Coturnix japonica: one gene and its partner. Each later gene encodes a partner of the first gene's protein in a complex. Links are inferred from orthologs where the notes say so. Each region holds a gene or a part of one and is shown on either strand. Other genes may lie near its edges.

The links. The genes of interacting proteins can lie anywhere in the genome.
Region 2: the proteins of CD40 (region 1) and CD40LG are in contact, whole or in part, in a crystal structure (PDB 3QD6), measured with the Homo sapiens proteins. The link is inferred for Coturnix japonica from reciprocal best matches to the Homo sapiens genes CD40 and CD40LG. Residues at the interface, in NP_001241.1 of Homo sapiens: Glu64, Ser65, Glu66, His76, Cys77, Gln79, Tyr82, Asp84, Asn86, Leu87, Trp109, Cys119; in NP_000065.1 of Homo sapiens: Ile127, Glu129, Ala130, Lys143, Gly144, Tyr145, Tyr146, Cys178, Pro217, Cys218, Gln220, Ser245, Gln246, Ser248, His249, Gly250, Thr251, Gly252.

What each region holds. Positions count from the first base shown.
Region 1 is NC_029535.1:9,594,477-9,600,383, reverse strand, and holds the start of CD40 (tumor necrosis factor receptor superfamily member 5), read right to left. Parts: upstream 3,864-5,907; 5' UTR 3,519-3,863; coding exon 3,326-3,518; intron 3,142-3,325; coding exon 3,016-3,141; intron 2,927-3,015; coding exon 2,783-2,926; intron 2,637-2,782; coding exon 2,537-2,636; intron 1,865-2,536; coding exon 1,803-1,864; intron 1,720-1,802; coding exon 1,621-1,719; intron 1,446-1,620; coding exon 1,420-1,445; intron 1,172-1,419; coding exon 1,028-1,171; 3' UTR 1-1,027.
Region 2 is NC_029519.1:4,224,240-4,230,045, reverse strand, and holds the start of CD40LG (CD40 ligand), read right to left. Parts: upstream 3,834-5,806; 5' UTR 2,548-3,833; coding exon 2,236-2,547; intron 1,295-2,235; coding exon 1,157-1,294; intron 358-1,156; coding exon 312-357; intron 55-311; coding exon 7-54; intron 1-6. UniProt on the Homo sapiens protein: Cytokine that acts as a ligand to CD40/TNFRSF5. Costimulates T-cell proliferation and cytokine production.

The DNA.
Region 1 (5,907 bases):
TCCCTTATTAAACCTAACATTAGGTTTTAAGAGCAGCCTTAAATAACGTGCCTCTGCCTTTATGGAAAAAGCTGCTCCGAGTTGCAGCTGCTCCAGGCTCTGGGATTTACTGCCTTCCTGATGCCACATGGTGCTCGGATGGTGGGTGGTGGGCTCACACCGCTCCCTGCAGCCCCCGCCGGGCTCAGGGTGGGTGCTGGGTTCCTTCCATCCCTCCCCGGTGGGAGCACGACCCCGGGGTCCCCGTTTGGAGCAGACGGAGCAGCGGGGAGGGGCCGCCCGTGCCGCAGGCCATGCTGCTCACGCACACCCAGAGAATAATTAAAGTTTAAATGCCATCTTTTTTGTCAACGGTGTGGTGGAGAATAATTGAGTGTAATTGTTCCCATTGTAACGGCGATGGTACAGCTCGGAGCGGAGCAATAACCGCGCAAATGTCAGCAGCCGGCAGCACCGCGGTGGGGGCTGCGTGCGGTACGTGGGGCTGCGGGGGCGACGGTGCGGGGCCGGGGGCGGCCGAGGGGAGCGGTGCTGAGCCGGGCCGCCCCCCGCAGACCCTCCGCCTGCTGCTCGCTACGGGATACCGGCCTTGGGATCCCGGCTGAGCGCCCGCACCGGGCCGTGACCCCTCCGCCGCCGGTGCGGGGCTGTGCGGGAGCGCTCCGCCCGCTTCGAGCCGCCGACGGCCCCGCAGCGCCCCCTCCTGGCCCCGGGACGGCAGCGCACCGCGTGGGTCGGGGACCGGGATGGGTTTGTTTGTTGTCTCCCACGTATCCCGGCCGCGCCGGGCCGGCACTGCCGTGCCCTGACACCGAGCCGACGGGTCCCGCCGTGGCGGCTGCGTGTGGGGCCACCGGGGCTCCCCCGGGCAGAGCTGCGCTTCGGGTCGGCCCATGCACGGCGCCCCGCTGGGCGCTACGTCGGTCGCTGTGCTGGCGGCCGGGCCCTGTGCTCACCTCCCACCCCAATGCAGGGGGGTCAGCGCTGTCCCTGCCCGCTGCTCCCATGGAGGGCAGCTCCCACGCTGTCACAGCTGCTCCTGCTCTGCGATGCGGCTCTCCTTGCCGTCCTCCTGTGTCACGGGCTGCCCTCCCAGCAGAGTCTCCTGCACTGGGAAGTCCACCTCCTCGGGCTGCTGCATCTCCAGCTCTCTGGGCATCTCGGCCTCAGTCTGTGTGCGGGCAGGAGGTCAGGGCCAGGAGCAGCAGTCACAGCCCCTGCCCGCAGCCGCATCCCTCCATGGGATCCTCCTGCACTCACTCCCACTGCAGCACAGGAGCCTCACCCCATGTGGGTTCCCTGTGTGGGTTCCTGGTGGCCCCGTCCCCATTGAACAGCCCTAAGATAGCCCCCGTTCTGCAGCCCACACATCCCTACCGTGCCAGTAGGGACCCCAACCCACGGCTGGAACCAACTCACCTGTTTCGGCCCACGGCGCCTGAGGTCTGCAGGGAAAGGAGAGAAGGCTGCTGTTGGAGCAGGTCCTGCCCTGCCTGGCCCCCAGCCCTGCAACAAGCTCTGAGCTCAGAGCTGGAAGGGCTGGGTGCCACAGTGACACCCCCTGAAGGGCCTCCCCGTTTCTGGTAGAACTGCTGCTGCCTTCCCCACTTGGCTCCTCACCTGTGTGCACCAGGCAGTAGATGCAGATGCCCACCAGGCAGGTGACAACAGCAGCTGTGATGGGGATCAGCACTGACAGCGATGAGCGCCGGCTCGACTCTGCCAGGGGATGGGGACTCAGTGGGCTGCACAGAACTCCAGCCCATCCCAGCTCTGCACCAGGCAGGGTATGGAGCACTTACCACAGATCACATCTGAAGTGTTTGTCCCTTTCACTTTCACCACGAGCCCCTTTTCCTCGCAGCTGCAGGCAAAGAATGAGACTGTGTCATCACAGTGGGAATCCCACAGCCATGGGGCTGGGAGCCAAGAGCATGCAGTCAGCAGCCCCTGGGCCCTGGGAGCTCATGGTCAGGGCACAGCAATGGGGCTCCTGGGGTGGGATGGGGATGGAGATGCCAGGGCCCTGTCAGAAGCCATTGGAACTGAAAGAGGTGGGCATGTGCCTTGGGTTGAGGCACAGGAGGGGGATACTGGGGCTGGGGCACTTCAGCTACTGCAGAACAGCTCAGAGATGGCTCGATAGCATGCCACAAAGTGGCTCAGTGGGGAGGTAATTTCTGGCCATAGATAGGAGCAAAGTGAAATCCAATGGCTGGCAGCTGAGGCGAGACTAATACAGTCCAGAGGTAACGCTCACATTTCTACCAGGGAACATGAGGAACTTTTCAGCCACTTTTTACAGACAGGAGTGAGCTGGGCCTGGAAACCCCCCCGGGGTCTGGCAGTCCATGAACTGAGGGAACACCACAACAACTGCCACCAGCTCAGTGACCTGGGTCTCACTGCACCCTGCTGCCCTCACTCCTGCCCTGCACAGGCCATCCCAGTGCCTCGTCCCAGTGCCACGAGAGGTGACAGCAGGGAATGTGCAGAGAGGAACAGGGATGGAGCGTGGGGAGTGGCTGACACTGACCTTGTCCAGAGGTGGCACGGCTCGGTTTTAGAAGATACATTGGAGAAGGTGCCTTCTGCACAGGGCTCACACGGTGAGGTCATCTGGGCTTCGGCCATGGCTGGAAGGGAGTGGAGGTTGCAATGCAGCCCTCACAAAGCTCTGGTAGGGCCCCATGCAGAGGAAGCCTCCATCTCTGGGAGCACCTGAGGTTGATGCCGCCAGCACATGGGGCCCATGGCAGGGATAGGGGTGGCTGGGTCTCACCTGCCACAAAGCCAAAGCCCTGCTTGCAGGGCTCATTCTCCACGCAGGTCTGGCAGCTGGCATCAGAGCAGTGCATGCCAGCCCGGCACTGGCACACGGTGTTGTGTGTTGTGTTTCCATGTCTCTTCACGATGAGGCCAGCGTCTGTGAAAGGGAGTGGGGACAAAGTGAGAGTGAGCCTGGATGGAGTGCAGCCCCTGCAGCCCCACACGCTGGGGACATGGAGCACTTACTGTCCTCACAGATGTCATGGGGCGTGCAGTGCCTCTCCTTAGTCCAGCCCTGCTGGTAGTGTCCATTCTCACAGGGTGTGCAGACAGAGTTTTCCGTGTCGTTGCATTCAGAGACCAGCTTCTTTCCTGCAAGACGGGCTGGTGAGGGGGGAAAAGGGAGCTTTCCCCCACAGGCAGCAGATCTGACAGCAGGACGTGGGAGCACCAGGGGCTGTAGCTGTTGAGGCCACTGTGGCATGATGTTCAACTGCCAAATGCAGCCCCAGCAGCCACGGTGCAGGACCTCAGGGAGGAGAAGGCATTTCTGTACCTGGCTGGCATCGGTTGCAGCATCTGCCCTTGTGCTCGTACTGCTTGTCAGAGCAATTCACAGCATCACCAGGCTGCCCACACTGGAAGAGATGAGACCCATGAAGAGATGCTGCTCTGCCACACTCCTGCACAGCTGCACATCCTCCGAGTCGTGCCCCAAGGTGAGGTTTTCCTTGCACCACATTTCCCATGCCTGGGCTAACCACAGACCGCAGCAGATCTGCCTGCGCTGCCTGGCACTGCCAGCTCTCTCTTTGAAGTGGGATGGCAGTGGCTCCTGTAGGGCAGCCCCGTGCTTTCCCAGGTTTCCTACGGGGTGGTGATTGCTCTTCACTTTGGGTGACTGCCAGCGCCACCAGTGCAGCAGTGCTGGGCAGGGGGAGCGGTGCCAGCTGTGCCTCCTGGGCAGGAGCATCAAACCCACACAGACTGCTGCGTCTGCTCTTGGTCAGCCCCAGCACGGTCCTGTGGGCAGTCCTGGTGTGAAGGGGCACTAGCTTGGGATGCCTGACTCTGTAGAGGGGAACTGACCCCCCCCCCCACCATGTGTCTGTGACTTCAGGCAGGAAGGGGAACCAAAAGTGAGCTCAGACACCCCACCCTGCCCCTGCTTCCCCCAGGGCCCGGCCTTGCATCGAACCCACAAGACCCCATAACAGAGCTCAGCCCCTCCAGCAGGGACAACACGCCCCATGCCTGTCCCATGCTTTGCCTCGACACAGGCTGGGATTGCTGCTGACAGGGACCACGTCGCCCTCTCCGCACCTCAAATCCACAGCTGCGCCCCAACCGCCCGTGATGGGGATTGTGGGACAAGGGGAGGCACATGGAGCTGGAAGGGCAGGGACCGCCGAGCCCCTGCTGGGGGAATCTCAGCCACGAGAACGAGGAACGACGAAGCTCAACGCCCGGGAGTGGGAACCGTGCTCCGGGCACCCAGCCAGGGGCTCCCCGAGCCCTTCCCGGCACAGCGCTGGACGGCGGCCCCGGGACCGGAGCTCAGCGGCCCGACGGCGCCGGGCGCTCCCCCCCCACCCCGCAAAGCATCGCCGCATCCCGGTCCCGTTTCGGGCCGTGATCACGGAGCGCAGCGTTGCAGCCCCGGCCCGGCCCCGCTCCCACCCCGCGGGACGCCGCACTTACGTTCAGGAGCAGCGCGCACAGCAGCCCCAGACCGAGCCGCCCCATGGCCCGAGCCGCGCCCATCCGACCCGACCCGAATCGAACCGAGCCGTGCGGAGCCGGGCAGCCGATATTAACGCCTCGACCCGTTTCCGCCCAGGAAGGGGCCGCAGGGGCCGCCCATCCTGCAGTCACCGGGCTGAACGTCCCGAGACAAAGTCCCCACCGGCAGCACCCGCCGCCCCGGGACTTTCCCGAGCTTCAGAGCGTAACCGAGAGCCGTGCGGGGCCGGGGCTGTGCCCGCAGCTCCCCCGCACGGTGCGACCGGCCCGGCCGAGCTACGGGTGGATGTCAGCGTGTAACCGGCTGCTTCCTGGGTGAAGGAGGAGCGGCCGCAGGCAGGAATCTGCCCTGGGAAGCAGAGGAGATGTTTGATCTGGCCCCGACAGCTCCTTCCTCATGCAGAAGTGCGAGGTTTCACTTCACTTTTAAGAAGTCCACAGGGCCCTTCCGTGCTCCCCATGGGCTCCGGCATCTGCTTAGAGTTCCCAGAATCACATCAGCTCAGTACGGGAAGAGGCAGAAGCACAGCAGGGCCCTGAGGCTGCACACAGCCGGGCTGCCTGCCCTGCATCCCGCAGCAATCCCCGTGGAACTTCCCATCCCGTCCCCGTCAGACACTTCCCCATACACAGACGTGCAGGGTGCAGTGTGTGCTGCGGGGGGACTTACACAGTCCGTGCCATCCCAGCACATCATGCAGTCACACTGCACAGCCTCCAGCACAACGTTATGGTGCTGCCATGCTCCCGATGGGCACCACCGCAGGAACGGTGCAGCTCCCGGTGCTGCGGGTGTCTGGCTCCACAGCAAGGCCTCGCTCCGTCCCCAGCCCCAGCTGCATCCTGCAGGACCTGCATCCCTCTGGAGCCCCATGCTGTGCTGCAGCCATGTGCTCTGCATTGCCACCATGCTGCCATTACCCAGCAGCAATGCTGCCATAACCCAGCAGCAATGCTGTCATACCCAGCAGCAATGCTGTCATAACCCAGCAGCAATGCCGCCATTACTCGGACAGCGCCGCCCCGCGGCCGCGCCCCGCCGGACTACAAATCCCATGGTGCATTGCGGCAGCGGGGCATGCCGGGAGCTCAGCCTCCCTCTCTGGCAGCCATGGCGGCTCGCGTTACGTCAGCGCGTCGCGCCGTGCCGTAAAGCGCGACTGAGCGCCCTCCCTTCCGGCCGCTCTCACGTCCGCGCTTTGCGGCGGCGCCGTGCGACAGCGGCGGTTGGCGCCTTTGTCCTGGCGGGCGGCGGCCTGAGGCGGAGCGGGCCCGGTACGGCGGTAAGTGCGCGGCGGAACGCGAGGAGGGAGGAGCGGAACGCGGAGCTCCGCCCTTCCCGGGGCCGAAGGAGGCGGCGGGCGGCAATGGAGGGCAATGGAGGGACCCCGCGGC
Region 2 (5,806 bases), on another chromosome or scaffold:
GCTTACCTGCCACGGATGTCTCATTCCTACTCTTCGAGTGGGGGTGCTCATCACCTGCAAGGAGAAAAAGTGAAAGATTTAATTTTGAGTTTGTTTTCATCAACTTTGGGCAATGCAGTATCTTAGCAAGACAGCTTTGTCCAGGTCTCTGCCAACCCCATGCCATGCACAGTCCCCCCATGGAGATGCTCTGCTGCTCCCGACAGACCCCACCAAGGGGACCAAAGGACCTGACCCTCTCTCCCGTCCCCTCTCCCCTTCCCCCTGCAGCCGCTCATCTCTCTGCCCTCCAGCAGCACCATGACACTCACCTCTGTGCATTTCAAATTTTGGCAGCTCCTCACTGGCTGTCTTATCCTGCAACAACAGCAAAAATATATACTTGAAGATAGGTATCCTTCCACTTTTTAAAATAATACACTGTTTTAAGATGTACGAAACAAACACCATTAAAGCCTGTGTGTAAAGGATGCTCTGGACAAAACTCAATTGGTGCTGTTTGTTACCAACAGAAGGTACCAGAAGACATCAGATCCCCCAGCACCTTCCCAGCATCATGTACGGCTGTGGGCTGCCCTGTTCTTTGCAGTATGGGGGTAGCAGAACTTCTGGTCTTAGGTCTTTAATTTTAATAATGCTGTGCAATTAAAATGCTCTGCAAGGTGACTCTTTTTTACCCAAACACGAGAAGCCTCTGCATTAGGTGGAGGTGATGTCCCTAAACCATAGGGAGGCATTTGCATTGCATCCTCCTCCTGCTCCTTGCTGGACTCACTCCAGCTGGTCCAAGTCATGCACTGCTATTAATGGCTGAGCTTAAAAGTGCTCCTAACATCCTCCTTCCCACCCGCACAGCAACTAAGAGAGCTGGAAGACAGCAGAATGCCATTGTTTTTCAGGCCAGGATGGCAGCTCCATCCCATCCCACCTTGGGCACTCTGCAGTTGGATTTGCTCTGGCCATGCTTTTGGGAAAAAAAATGGATGAGATTTTTCATTGATGTCATTAGTGTAAAAATATCATGTAAAAAAGCGTATAAAAAAGAGCCCTTCTTCTGTAGCCCCAAGATTTCAAGAAGGCTGTGGGTGATGCTTTGTGTGCCTGAGAGCCTCCCTCCACCTTCAGCAGGGGTTGTATCCACCCAGCAGCGATCTACCTTGCACTGGAGGTCCTGGAAGCCCTTTAGAACTTTATCACAGTCCAGTAACGTCGACTTCTGACCTTCTCCCGTCTGACATTTCTGCACTTTTCTCAGGAAGATGTAATCTTCATTTAAACTCAACACCTCTTCCATCTGCAGGTGGGGGAGAGAAGAGAGAGGGTCAATGTCTTGCTGCTGGGAAATGCAGATAGGAGGCATCCTCCCCAAATCACAGCCTGGAAGCCCAAGCCCCAGGCTGTCACCCGCTTACATCTTAATTTAGATCAAGACAACACATTTAAAAGCCACTTAATACCAGTCTTATCTTTGCATCTGCATTCTGGGTTTAAGGTACATTCCATTTCTATAGCTTTCTGCTTTGGGGGAAACAGTTTTAGATCAGTGATTTTAAGTGTTGCGTGGTGCTGCTGCAGTCACAGCAACTTCAAATAGAGCTTTTCAGCTCTTCAGTTTTTGCTAAGTGCTGTCCCACGTGCAGGACAGGATTACGGATACTATGCACCTTCCATCAAAAAGAGCCAAGTATTAAGACCCACCGTTTATTTTCCCAAAGCAGAATCATAGAACTGTTTGAATCAGAATGGTTCTTTAAAGGTCATCTAGTGCATATCCCCTGTAATAAACAGGGACATCTACAGCTCCATCAGGTGCTCAGAGCCGCATCCATCCTGACCTTGAAAAACTTCATTTCTGGACTACTTTATCCCCCCGATGAGTGTCCCAGTGCTGCTGTGGCACCAGCATGACCACCAGGAGCCTGAAGGCTAACACAGCACCCACGTTCACCCAGACTGGCCGCGTCTGCCAGGTTTGCTCTTAGCAGCTCCTCTTTACCGATCCATTCTCTCTTTGTTAAAGAAGGGAACAGCCCTCTTCGTCTGTGTACGTCTTCTCTTAGTGGCAAGTTAGAGCAGGAACAAGATCATGGGTGTATAAACCCCATTTCTGCACCAGTCCAGTGGTCAGCAGCATCGTGCCCCACGTTCCTCCTTTGGGTGACCAGCTCTCTTCATGCAGAAAGCAAACGATGTTAGCAGGCCAGCAGAGACAGCTTTATCTTATCCAACACTTACCTTATCCATCTTCATGTGAAGATATAAACAGAAGAGTACGGTCCCAATGGTCTGTACCACCATGAACACAGCGAGGAAGCACAGAAACATTTTCATGGTGCTGGGAGAGGTGCTGCCCATGGGTCGGGGTGCTGCAGAGCTGTAGGCTTCATTCATCCTCCGGGCAAGGTGCTGGTGCTCCTGCAAATGAGCTGCTTGCAAGTAGCATGAGAACTGTTGTGTGAGCAGCCGCCGCTCAAGGGATACAGGTTGCAGCAACCTACACTTCCTGGAAAAAAACCCTTCGTAGTGGGTAGGTTTGTTCACCACCATCTCCCACAACAAAAAAAAAAAAGAAGAGGTTGCTTAGACTTTCTTCTCTGGTGCACTTCCATACTTTTTCCTACTGTCCTACCAGAAGCAGGTAGCAATTCTTAGTCTCAATTTTCATATCTCTGAAACACTCCTGGCTTTCCCCAGTGTTGTGTTGCTTTTTTTCCTATTGTGGATGAATGTTTCGTGACCAGCCATCTTCAGAGCAATGTGGACCATGAGTCAGTGGGCAGTATCTCTGAATTGTGGTGGGGGCTGCCAGGCACTGGGAAGCTCTTTGGAACTCGTTAGTTTCTCAAAATGAGAAGAAAGGCTTTCTACTCTGTTTCCTCTGTGAGACAGACAACTTTGCAATACCTGGAGGAGGCAGATGGGTTGTGCTGGTTCTTGTCCTTCCCTTGTATCTCCCAGAGGTGAAGACTTCCTGGGTAGGATTAGGATGGATGCTCCTGGAGAAAGGGACATCTCTGTGGGCGCTGGGACCACAGTGTGGGCATGGCTTCATGCTCCTGGACAGCAGGACTTTGGGTCTTGGTGCTTGGCTGTCAGTTTGGAAAGACACAATTTGAGCAGCTTTTCCAGTGTCATGGTGAAGTAAGTGCTCACCCTTCAAACACAGGCACAAGCAACCTCAGACTGTGCCCCCATTAACACAAATCTGGGCATGGAAAGGGCTGCTGGGGACTCTGGGCACTGCTACCAACCACAGACCTCCACCACAGACTGGCTTTGCTCCATGCTAGAGCAAAGAGAATGAAGTTGGGCTGCCTGCACAGGGGGCTGGGGTGATCAAACCATCATGCAAAGTTGTTTTGAAAGTAACAGGCTGAAAGCAATGCTCTTATCAGATGTGCACGCAGCAAATAAAGGGCTGGATCCTGCCAGAAGCAGGGTGGTGCTAAGCAGGGCTGCTCACCCACAGTGACAGCAGAGGAGAGCTCCCAGCGCCATAGGGCTGCACAGCACAGCAGGATGGGTTCCAGAGCTCGCTTTTGCTATCTACCCACTCTCTCGCATCCTGTCCTGTGTGGTTTAGGGTGCTTTTAGCTACAACTGCAAGTGCTGGTAGCAAAGCACAAACATCTCTGCAACCCAGTCAGTATTTGACCTTGGCAGGTCACTGCCTTCCTAAATATAGCCAAATAACTCAAATATAACCCAAATCACAAATGTCTTACAGTGCCAGGATCTTTGCTGTCAGCAATTCAGTGGCTGATGGATATTCAGGGTCCTGTGCCCCCTTACCACGTTGACTCTGCCACCTTCTTGCACAGAGGGGAGCACTGAATTATAGAATCATAGAATCACAGAATCATTAAGGTTGGAAAAGACCCCTAAGGTCATCAAGTACAACCATCAACCCATCCCCACCACACTCACTTAACCATGTCACTCAGTGCCATTTCTCCATGTTTCTTGAACACCTTCAGTGATGCTGACTCCGTCACTTTCCCGGACAGCCTGTTTGGGATGGGGCTGCAGCCCCCATGCAGTTTGAGGGCACTGCCAACCAGTGCTTTCCTTCCCTCTCATATTAAAATCAGTATTACCTTTGGAAATACCAACCCTGGTCCCTGGCAGGGCTCTGAGCTGACACCGAGCTCCTAAAACTGTCCCTGCCATGGAGGGTCTTCCTCCTGCACCATCAAGAAGCTGCCCCCAGGAAAACCCCACAGCACTGGGGGCCACAGCAACCATCAATGCACGCTCTTCAAAGTCCTCACCCCATGCCTTGGCCAGAGGGCAACCACCGACATTTTCCAAAGCTCTTCAGACTTTCCTCCGAATTTAATACTCATGTTTGGAGGAAGTCTTCATATGAGAAACAAAACGACACGAGAAGTCGTTACTTAATACTTTCCCCGAATCCCCAGTGTCGGGACCCAGAGGCAGTCAATAATGTGTGAAACCACAGCAGTGAGTGATACAGAGAGCAGCAAATAAGGCTTTGCACAGCTATCCCTGAGCCCTGGCCGTCCCTGGCAGATGAAACCCTCTCAGAGATGTTTCTGGATGGCCACCTGTCACCGTTTCACCAAAATGAGAGAAAGCTGCAGGGAATGCTGGAAAGCCCAGCCCCATAGAACACACCTGCAGCTCTGTGAGGACGGGGAAAGGCTTCGCTCTGGGGTCCCCAACACAAAATGTCTACGGAAGCTCTCTGCTTTGCTCTGCAAACCAGGAAACACAGCCTCAATAGTCACCAGTGCCCTGACGAAGAAGACGGTGTGGAAAATATGACAGCGGGGATCCCAGCAGAGATTCGTCAGCGCACCTTATTAGGAGGGCAGGCTGGTCGCTCTTCTTTAGGATAACGTTTTGTTGTGTTGGCAACCCAGCCCCAACAATCTCCTCTGGCCCCATTACCAGTAGTAATGGTAGTTCTGCATCACACGGGTAGGGCGAGGGGCTCAAAAACCATGTCAGCTCCTGCCAGGGCCAGGTTGTCTCATGGCTGTACATTGTTGGCCACTTCCTGCTGTAGGAACTTTGGGGAGGGAGCAGGAGGGCATGGTCCGGAGGGATGATGGAAAACCCAGTGCCAACCTATGTGGGATCCCCCCAGAGAAGATGAAGTTCACCTGCACCTGGAGACAGTTGCACCACTGGGAAACCAACAGGGTTTTCTTTCACCCTCAACCCCCTGAACATAACCATACCCATCTGCCTCCAACCCGAGTGAGACAATGGGAAAATGTGATCCATCGCTTGCATTCCTATTGACCTACTTGCAGTATTTCCGCTGATCAGCAAATTGTCTCCACTGCAGTCGGTTTTGTTTACTGAGAAAATATCCGGTTGCAAGCCCTGGTGATCTGCCAAAGGCTGGGAGCAGCTCTGAACGCAGCAAGGTGAAAGCTGATGAAAAGAGAGTGAATTTTTTGGGTGCTTGCTGCGGTTTTATGTAAGTAGCTCTTTAAAAGATGCTGCTCACCTCACCAGCTCGTTCCACTCGACAAAAGCCAGGTGCTGTGCACCACCAAGAGCAAGACACTCAGAAAGAGGATTTTATTCTGAGTCACAAAAGGAGTTTGCCTGCAATGCTGTAGGAGGGATGCGGAAGGAAACCTATGAGAAAAACCTGATTTAGTCCTTCTGACCACAAGCAGAAATTTGAGCTTTAACATCATTTGTTTTATCATTTCTTTAGATTTCCTTTTCTTGTGTCTCCCAAGATCTCATGTCTTCAGGTCTGTACCCATCACAGGAGAGAGAGGAGACAGACAGAGCCAGAACATCACAGAAAATATCACCAGCA